Schizosaccharomyces pombe: one gene and its partner. The protein of the gene in region 2 purifies or fractionates together with the protein of the main gene of each other region. This does not show direct contact. Each region holds a gene or a part of one and is shown on either strand. Other genes may lie near its edges.

Region 1 (4,626 bases), on a different chromosome or scaffold from region 2:
CTTTCTTCTTCTTCTGCTGCTTTTTCTTTTTCTTTTTATTTTTTGCTTTCTTATTTGTAGAGACAATTGGAGACTCGCCTTCTACTAATGGTTCATCCTGCTCTTCCTCAGAAACACTTTTTTCTGCCTCTGAGTTAATAGCATTATTTTCTTTTTCGAGAATTTCGAACACGTTTACTACTTTTTTCCCGGAAGTTGAAGAAAACTCGTCATCCTCATCAGATTCACTGTCTAAAGCTTCTTCCAATAGCTCGGTTTGTCTTTGACGCTGAAGTTTCCGTAAAGCTCGTGAAGACATGAGAATGGTTTGTGGTAGACTAGAATGGCAGATGTAAGAATTTAACTCAGACCTATGAAAACACACCTCAATTTCAAGAACTTTTCGGTATGCTAAATTAATATATAACATACAGAAAATATTTCATTTTAAGACTGTTAGCAGTGAAGAATATTACGTTTCGTAGTTAAAAGGCGTTAAGGAAAATACAAGCCGGGAGCAACAATGATGTACAGAATATGTAATTAAAATCTAAGTAATAGAATTTTGCAATTGTGGGGTGGTAAACCGTTTTTACATATTTGTGGTTCATGGTTTATTGGAATTTTTGCTGATCGCAATAGGTTATCAGCCAAATGAAAATTAGAGGGGTTATTAATACAAAAAACTGTTAATGCAAATTTAGTATTAAAGTGAGAATAACGACCGTGTTACCTTTTTGTATGCCTATATTACCAGAATATATTATAAAGTAGTAAATAAATCAAATTAGTATTACCAGAGAAAGGAAAACATATTACTTTTTTAACATACGCCAATAATTCTTTTCTTCTTCTCCGGTAATTAGCTCAGCAATCAGGAATGGACGGCTAGATCCCTTTTTCCTATGTGCCCGAATATCATCATGACTGTTTTGTTTCCTTTCTTGTGTACGAAACGCGTTGATACACGTCTCAGCATGAAGCGGTGTTTTCCAACGTATTATCGCCTCTGTTTCGTCCTTCCTATAGTCTATATACATGGGCTCACATGCAATATTCTGAGTTTGCCGCGAAAAAACATAACTCAAGAGGCTGTGAATAGTAGATTTATTAGTTAAAGGATGGAGGTTCTTGATACGGGTCAAAAGATTCTTGGTAAAATCCAAATTATCTTCATCTTTATCAGTTTGTGAGGTTTTGGATACAGACTTGGTCATTTGTTTTTCTACTTTAGTAAGTTTGGGATAACGATTTTCAGGAAAGGAATTGGATGAATTTGAAACGTCTGAAGATGACGCTTTTACTAAATGGAGTTGATTTTCAAAATATTTTTCTTCACGATTTGTCCATTCTTTACGAGTCAACAGTACCCATCCAGGAGGGACAGGCAACTTGCTAAGTGCTGATTGATCAACCTTTTTGTACAAAATTACAAAAGCATAACCTTCAGGAGTACCGATAGCATCAACATAGGGAAGGAACTCTTTGAGGTATTTGCGAAGTTTCCCAGCCAAAAGTAAACTTTTATTAGACAGAGTAGCCGGAACTGGTTCAACGTAAATAATTCTATCATACAGTGGTATGTCAAGAGGAAGAACAATATTCTCATTTCTAATAACCATGTGTGAGGAATTATCGAAATGAAACAGCGCATTAGTAACATAAGATAAAGCATACTTCAAGTTATTTTGCGTTGGATTCGGGCGGATTCCTTTCCAGAAATCATCTTGCTGGATTAAAAAGGCCAAGTGCACTTTTTCTTTTTGCCTTTCTCGGTGAAAATAAATTTCTAATATAGAATCAACGGCTGATAAAAAGTCAGGATTTAACGGTTCAATAAGCTGTCTATCTTGTTGATTTAACATGAGTCCTCCGCTTATGGAATGACTTGGTTCTTTGCTGGCTTCATTATGTTTGTAATGCTCATCTTTCAATTTGTTGTTATTTCCATCTGCAATAGAATTATTTTCCTTCCCTGTAAATGCTTTAATTTTGCGAACATTCAGTTGCCTTGGCACAAACATTTTACTTCGCTCCTTAAAGTACGGTTTTCTAGTATCAATTAAAGTGAAGTCATTAATAATAAATAGAATTAGGTGCTCTTAATTAAAAAAAAAAGGGTTGTAAATTTTTGTTCTGCTTTCTCCCAATTTATGTTGAATGCGTAGGTGAAGAATAACTCGCGCTTGCCCAGCACCCACGACCTTGTCTTTCCAATTGTGGTTTTTAGACAAAAGCCCTTGGAAAGATGTCCAAAAGAAAGGAATTTGATGAAGATGCACCTGTAGACCCATCCGTAAGCCTTGAATTTACGATTTTTTATAAGGGCCTACTTTCTAACCAATGTCAGGATTTACTGGAGTTTATTAACTTGGGAGCCGGAAATGAAGTTGGTCGCAGTTGCCATGTTATTCAATACAAAGGGAAAACAGTAATGGTATTTTAATTTTTATTTTGTTATGATTGTGAATGCTAATTTTTGCTAGCTCGATGCCGGTGTTCACCCTGCGTATACTGGGCTTTCAGCTCTTCCTTTTTTTGATGAGTTTGATTTGAGCACTGTAGATGTACTTTTAATTAGCCAGTAAGTCCCTTTTGTACCACTACTTGAGACGACCATAGGTTATTAGATTAGAGTACTTCTTGTACCAATTACTATTATGGTCCCTTAGGCATTGATTCATTTTTTTTTGAAAAGTATTTCTAACTTAAGCAAGCTTCCATTTGGATCATGTAGCCTCGCTTCCCTATGTTATGCAAAAGACGAACTTTAGAGGTCGTGTCTTCATGACTCATCCTACAAAGGCAGTTTGCAAGTGGCTTTTATCTGACTACGTGAAAGTGAGGTATGTATTCTTAGCTCTGAGTATTCATTAACAACTCGCAGTAATGTAGGCATGGAAGATCAGCTTTACGATGAGAAAGATTTGTTAGCCGCTTTTGATAGAATCGAGGCTGTTGACTACCATTCAACTATAGAAGTTGAGGGTATAAAGTTTACACCCTATCATGCGGGCCATGTTTTGGGTGCCTGTATGTATTTTGTGGAAATGGCTGGAGTCAATATTTTATTTACAGGCGACTACTCACGAGAAGAAGATCGCCATTTGCATGTCGCTGAGGTTCCTCCTAAAAGACCAGATGTGCTGATCACAGAATCCACGTATGGTACAGCATCTCACCAACCAAGACTGGAGAAGGAGGCTAGACTGTTAAATATTATTCATTCCACTATTCGCAATGGAGGGAGAGTTTTGATGCCTGTCTTTGCTCTTGGAAGAGCTCAGGAGTTATTACTCATTCTCGATGAATATTGGAATAATCATCTCGATCTTCGCTCAGTCCCTATCTATTATGCATCATCGCTAGCGAGAAAGTGTATGGCCATTTTTCAAACTTATGTTAACATGATGAATGATAATATTCGAAAAATTTTTGCCGAACGAAATCCGTTCATCTTTCGTTTTGTCAAAAGTCTAAGAAATTTAGAAAAATTCGATGATATTGGCCCTTCTGTAATATTGGCAAGTCCTGGTATGCTACAAAATGGTGTTTCAAGAACCCTCTTAGAAAGATGGGCTCCTGACCCTCGAAATACGTTACTTCTTACTGGTTATTCTGTTGAAGGGACAATGGCAAAGCAAATTACAAATGAGCCTATTGAAATTGTGTCACTTTCAGGCCAAAAGATTCCTAGAAGAATGGCAGTGGAGGAACTTTCTTTTGCGGCTCATGTTGATTATCTTCAAAACAGTGAATTCATTGACCTGGTAAATGCCGATCACATTGTATGTTTAGTTACTAATGTAACGTTAAAATTAACTAATTATAGATTTTGGTGCATGGTGAGCAAACAAATATGGGTCGATTAAAAAGTGCTCTAGCCAGCAAATTTCACAATAGAAAAGTCGATGTCAAAGTATATACCCCTCGAAATTGCGTACCGTTATATCTTCCTTTCAAAGGGGAACGGTTAGTGAGAGCTTTGGGAAAGGTCGCTGTTCATAAACCAAAAGAAGGCGACATTATGAGTGGAATTTTAATTCAAAAGGATGCCAATTATAAATTGATGTCAGCTGAAGATCTTCGAGATTTCAGTGACCTTACTACCACCGTTTTAACCCAAAAACAAGTCATTCCATTTTTTTCGAGTATGGAGCTTGCAAATTTCCATTTAAAACAAATGTTTGGATATGTCAAACAGTCAAAAACAAAGGCAGGACAACCTCAATATACAGTAATGGACGCCATTACTTTGACTTTAATCCAAGAACATAAGCTTGCTCTTGAATGGGTTGGCAACATTATGAATGATACAATAGCTGATTCAGTAATTACTATTCTACTAGGCATTGAAAGCAGTCCTGCTTCTGTCAAGTGTAAGTCTGCGTTTAATGTGGAACAATTTCTAACCATTAATAGTGACGAGCCATAAATGTAACCATTTGCATTCGCATTTAGATAAGCCTCCAAAAGTATCAAAGGAGGAAGATCGTATTAAAAAGCTGATGATGTTTTTGGACAACCAATTTGGCGAAAGTATGACTAAAACGGAAAAGGGGGTTGAAATCAAATTTGAAAAATATGAAGCGTCTATTGATTTTTCGACTATGAAAGTTGAATGTTCAAATGAAGCGTTACGATCTA
Region 2 (5,908 bases):
TTTTGTAAGAACGTTTTCAACAAAAACTTCCACACAGTTTTCTCTCTTAAATACTCGAATATATCTTGGATCCCATAATTCACTTGCTACACCCAAGTCCTTGCAACACCTCATCAATGCGTTAGACTTGCATCCCTCAGATGCAGTAGCAATTCCTTCCGGATCGAAATAAGTTTGCTCACCACGTGCAACAGATACAAGTCGCCCATGACAAACGAGCGCATACTCCCTTGAAACAGATTTGCTAGTAACGTTGGTATTTCCACGAGGAGCTAAACCCCAACCACCTGGACCAAATGCTTTATTTAATATACGACGATATTTAATTTCGGGTAAGTATAGAATACCGTCCGGTTTTATCTCTATATCGTCGACCTCGAGCGGTGCTGTTAATAGATCACATATTTCTTTGCTAAACGGTTGAGAAGATAACCCGAAAAAGGATTTTTCCCAATTATGGCCTGCTTCTGGAATTTCAAGCCTTGATTCGTCAAGAAACCCTTCAGAAAGCTCTTTTTCCTCTAAATTTTCTTTTGGCTCGTAAATATTTTTGTCTTTTTGATATTGAATTGAACTGTTTTGGTAAAAACGTTGAGTAATTTTAGGCGACAACAAACCGTTCTTAGGAATTACAGAAAAACTTGAGTTTCTACTATATACCCAAATATTTATGGGCTCACCATTTTTATATAGATATCTTGACAACTTGCCAAAATACTGCAAAGCTGGTTTTCCAAGCATTGTTTGCATTAGTAAAAATACGTATGATATGAGAAAAGTATCTGATTTAGGATACCACCATTTTACAACCTTGTTAAATCCTTTTGCGAATAATCTTGACAGTCGTATATTTATGTATTTATTAAGTGTAGCAATAATTACGCTATGTTGTGAATCGTTAATTGTCCTTATTTATATGCTCTCCAGCTTCAAGATTATTCTCCAAACCTTTACAGAATAAAGCGGTAGGAGGTCCCGCAATTAAAAAAAAACATTTCCATAACTTAACTATACGTTCTTCGTTTTTTTTTACGTATTTGAGTATAACTATAGCATTTTACAATATTTTTGATATTCTTTATTTCCATAGTCATATGCGGTAAATTAAGCTATATACAATATAGCTTTTAAAAGGAAAAACAATGTAGTCATCGATCATTATGATAGTTTATGAACGCGTAGTTGACACGCGATTCTCTTTAAAAATAAAAAACACATTTAACTTACCAGTATATGTATATTGCCTTCGAATGAAGCGCGCTTTAATGTGTATTTTTCCACTGCGGTAAATATTGTTGACAGTTGTGTTGGGTTTAAGGTGTTTAAGAAGCGAGCAAACATGATTGGAAAATTATCATCGCATTTATTTAGCTATTTGCCAACTTGTATATTTGAACCAAACTACCTGACTGCTTACTACTTACTTGAGATTTTTACTTATACTACTCTACAGATTGGTTTACAATTTTTTTAAGTACCTCTTTGGATTAGAACAAACTATTTTTTAGCATTACAAAGGCAAACTGAAACAATGAATGTTTTAATATACAATGGCAATGGGGCCTCCAAAATATGCCTACTGAGAACATTTCAATCCCTTTTACCATTTGTCGTTCCGCTATATGCAATGAGATTTGTCGACGCCTCTACTTTAGAAAAAGAACCTTGGCCTGCTAGCACAGCTTTGTTAGTTATGCCCGGCGGAAGAGATATGGGTTACTGTTCTTCTTTTAATGAAACAATTTACCGGAAAATTACTGATTTTGTCAAGCGAGGGGGAGCTTATCTGGGTTTATGTGCAGGAGGATATTTTGGTTCTGCGGTGGTTGATTTTCGAATGCCAGACTCTGATTTGAACGTTGTAGGGAAAAGGAAACTTCAATTTTTTCCAGGAACTTGTGCTGGTCCTACCTTTCCTGGATTTACCTATGATAGCGAGGATGGGGCGCGACGGGCATCTATAATTGTTGATGGCATGCAATCATCCCCCGTTCATACCCACATATATTTTAATGGAGGTGGGTCTTTTTTGGAGACAGAAAACTATTCTAATGTTAAGGTGGTTGCTCGCTATCAAGAGACAGATTTTGAGAAATCAGCAGCTATAATTTATGTTAAAGTAGGAAAGGGAAACGTTGTACTTACAGGTATTCATCCTGAGTTTTCAGCAGAGGGAAGCCCCATTTTAGATAAAAGAGATGAGAAAACACGATTAGAATTGTTATCCTATATTCTCAAACTCCTTGGGTTGAAGGTTCCTAAGGATACATCTAAATGTGGTCAGCCTACATTAACTGATCAGTACTTGTTCCCGAATAATGTGGAGACTAAAAGATTTATTGAAAAAGCTCTTACAAATAAGGTAAAAAATCAAGATGAGGACACTCTGTATACCTTCCAGTTTTCCGACATAAGTTCTGAAATCCCGGAGCATCAACTTGCTAATTTGGATATTTCCGCCGATTTGTCAGATTCTGATAATGAAATTGTAAAAATATGGTATGGTGACGAAGAAAAAATATGCAAAAAAGCGAAGCCTAGTTTTGATTTAGAGCTTTATGCAAAGTTAATTAACGGATGTCGTTTCGGTTTACCAATTATAGTTGCACCAGTAATCCGGTCAACTCAAACTCTACTAGACAAAAACTATAGATTTTTGGATTCAACGAATACTGGTTTTACCGTGTTGGGTAATTACCAGACTGCTGGTCGAGGCCGAGGTCAAAACATGTGGGTCTCTCCCTATGGAACGCTCGCGTTTTCGTTCATCATCAACGTGGATGCTAAAAATTTCTCTACTACACCTATAGCGCTTTTTCAGTATTTGATGGCCTTAGCAGTTGTCCGTGGTATTCGTGAGTATGCTCCAGGCTATGAAAATATTCCTGCATTTATCAAGTGGCCTAACGATGTTTATGTGCGTGTTGATAAAGGTGGAATAAATTTTCAAGGTAAGCAGTATATGAAGCTTTCTGGAATCATAGTTACTTCTAATTACCGAAAAAATGTCTTACATTTGGTTGTTGGCTGTGGAATAAATGTCAGTAACTTGGGTCCTACTGTTTCTTTGAATACTCTGGTAGATGAATGGAACAAAAACTCTGATAATCCGCGGCTAGAGAAGTTTTCCTTTGAAAAGCTGCTTGCCAGTGTACTCAATCAGTTTGATCGTTATCATAGGTTACTTTTGGAAGAGGGTTTTTCTCTTATTTTACCAGAATATTACCAATATTGGTTACATAGCAACCAAACGGTCAATTTAGCAAGCGGCGGTAAAGCAATAATTCAAGGGATTACCTCTGATTTCGGATTTCTGTTAGCTCAACTGTTAAACGAAAACAATGAGCCTACAACGAAAGTAGTTCACTTGCAACCTGACGGCAACAGCTTTGATCTGATGAGAAATTTAATAACAAGAAAAACTTAGTTATGACTATTGACTGTGTAATTTTCTGGCGCTTTACGTTAAATTGGAATCAGTAGTGTTTTGATCATAGATACTCGTACCGGAATCCTAGGCAAATTAAAAAGGTGAATAATTAGATATGCATATTGCAGCTTCCATTAGGGCTGTCCCTTTCTATACTAGCTAAACCTTCTTAAAATGAGCAAGCATGATTTTAAATCCAACAAACCGACTTTATACAATGTTAAGACAAGCTACTTTGAAAATATCATAAACCAAAATTAGAATTGTGGATTAGTGTAAAACCCTATACAAGGCTTAGAGCTCTAGAGAAGAGGGGGAAATAGAAGGGAAATGAATGGACGGGCATCATACACTCATTAAAGAGAGACCATAAAAACTTTTTAAAATTACAGGGATATTTACATGTGTCCACCTCTACCACGGCCACGACGGTTTGGTGCTGTGTGACCATAGTTTCCACGACCGCGTTGACCACGTCCGCGAAATCGCGATCCGCGATTTTCTCTTTGCTGCGCTTGTTGTTTAGCTACTTGACTAAGCACCTCATCTTGAATACGCAGGTATTTGATCTGTTGTGTTAGTAACAGCTGGCATTAATATGTTCGACCGCAAAGAAAAGGATGGTACAACATACATTATTTCCACGAATATAGCACTCAGGAAGACGGAAAAATTTATCACCATCAGGCATAGTACGAATGACTTCGCGCAGTGTGAGGTTCATGTAATTATCACAATTCTCTAAATGACCATTAAACGTTTCACCGTTTTTTAACTCAACAAGTATGGGACGACCTTGAGTTGCATTCAATAATGTTAATGGAAGCTATAGGATGTTAGCGTGAATTAATAAACAGAATTTACCATTTTTTGCAGTATATGGGTAACTTAGGTCTTTCCAAGTAGTAGGTTATCATTCTGTTTTAGAGGATTAGAAGAAGTAACATTGTAACCTGTAATGTTATAAGTCGCAGAGTTCACGATTGTGAGAGTCACTAAAAACCATGTGCATTGCTGACATTTCTTTATAAATAACGTGTAATCGCCATAACAATAATTTTGGTTGAAGTATCTTCTTTTTTTCTCTTGTCAGAGTTTTTCCTGAGTTGACTTTAAACAAGAGAATAAGAATTATATCATTAACATATCGATCCCTTTTCTAAAGTCCCTCAGTACCAATTCTAGTTCTTTTGACCGTTTTTTCTTGTTTTTAAAAATATTTTTTAAAGAATTTAGAACGTTAGTAATGTCAGCTGCTAAACAATGCTTTCGTAATCTTTGGCGAGCATCCAATTCGGTTTTTGAAGGTAAGTGGGTTAACCTCTATCAACAAGTATGTTTTTTTTTATTCACAGATGATACTTAGGGGACCCAATGATTCTCGCAGCTGCAAGGGATAAAATCAGAACTGGTTTTCACAATCATCGGTGCTGTTCTCCAGAAGAAGCAAAAAAAGAAATCCAAAATGGTAATGCTGTTGCGGAAATCCTTAGAAGGAACGTCGTTCAAGCTGAAAAGCAATCCAACGATACCTATTCTTTGAAAATTCGAAAGACAACTGAAATTAATACAAACAGACAATTTACTGAAAAAAAGTTTCCTCGGTAATTTTTTGAAATTACTGCATCAAGCTCTATTAATACAATAAAGTATGTTGTTTTCATACTCATATTTATTTTTTCTGTTTTAGTAATGTTTGACCATTAACAAAAATAAAGGGAATGGCAAGCTTGTTTTGTATTTGCACTTCATTACTTTCGTTTTTTAATACCATATAACAATTCCTTTCGTGAATAAATAAGCAAAATTAAGATTATATCGGTTACTTTATTGTGATTATACGGAACCTCGTTATCTTGGCATCATGATATAAATCATAGCATAGCTAACATATTTCCTCAGTTCCACAATCTGGCTTTACACTAAAGTAATTCACACCCTACATTTCTATAAATTTCTATAAAAGCATTATGGCCGAAACCGCTGAAAAAGTTATTTTGTTGACTGGATCCTCTAAGGGTATTGGATTGGCTACTGCAGAAGCTCTACAGAAGAAGGCCAAGGTTATTGCTGTTAGTAGGTCCTTGACCCCAGAACTAGAAACTTTGCTTATTCAAAATCCTGACTCATTTGTTCACGTGAAGGGTGACGTTACGGAGGTTGGAAAAGCTAGTATCGAAACTGCTATTAAAAAGTTTGGAAAATTGGACTCGGTTATTCTAAATGCAGGTGTCCTTGAACCTATAGCCAAAATCGCTGATGCAGATATCAATGAATGGCGTAAGTTGTTTGATATCAACTTTTTCAGTGTGGTTGAAACAGTGAAGTATGCAATCCCGCATTTGCGTAAAACCAAGGGTACTATTGTGATTGTATCCTCTGGCGCTGCTGTTCGTGTTTTTCCCGCGTGGGCTGCATATTGTTGCTCAAAGGCCGCCATCAACATGCTAGTCATGAACCTTGGCAGCGAGGAGCCTG

Evidence for each region.
Region 1: the proteins of lsm4 (region 2) and pof8 purify together in Schizosaccharomyces pombe (affinity purification with western blotting, with the first as the bait; one study listed by BioGRID). This does not show direct contact.

Annotation. Positions count from the first base shown.
Region 1 is NC_003424.3:3,621,246-3,625,871, reverse strand, and holds pof8 (LARP7 family RNA-binding protein Pof8/Lar7), read right to left. Parts: upstream 2,150-4,626; 5' UTR 2,004-2,149; coding exon 795-2,003; 3' UTR 501-794; downstream 1-500. Other genes in the region: protein Rqc1, read right to left, coding at 1-298; cleavage and polyadenylation specificity factor complex endoribonuclease subunit Ysh1, read left to right, coding at 2,228-2,275, 2,330-2,416, 2,466-2,563, 2,697-2,825, 2,867-3,767, 3,812-4,358, 4,402-4,626. UniProt on the Schizosaccharomyces pombe protein: RNA-binding protein required for assembly of the holoenzyme telomerase ribonucleoprotein (RNP) complex. Specifically binds telomerase RNA ter1 and promotes assembly of ter1 with catalytic subunit trt1.
Region 2 is NC_003423.3:3,084,597-3,090,504, forward strand, and holds lsm4 (U6 snRNP-associated protein Lsm4), read right to left. Parts: upstream 4,321-5,908; 5' UTR 4,298-4,320; coding exon 4,295-4,297; exon of another isoform or gene 4,257-4,294; coding exon 4,065-4,256; exon of another isoform or gene 4,000-4,064; coding exon 3,829-3,999; 3' UTR 3,428-3,828; coding exon of another isoform or gene 1,532-3,427; 3' UTR 1,457-1,531; downstream 1-1,456. Other genes in the region: mgm101 (DNA repair protein), read right to left, coding at 1-750; bpl1 (biotin-protein ligase), read left to right, coding at 1,532-3,427; chaperone protein Mzm1, read left to right, coding at 4,677-4,737, 4,797-5,038; SPOM_SPBC30D10.05C (sepiapterin reductase), read left to right, coding at 5,401-5,908.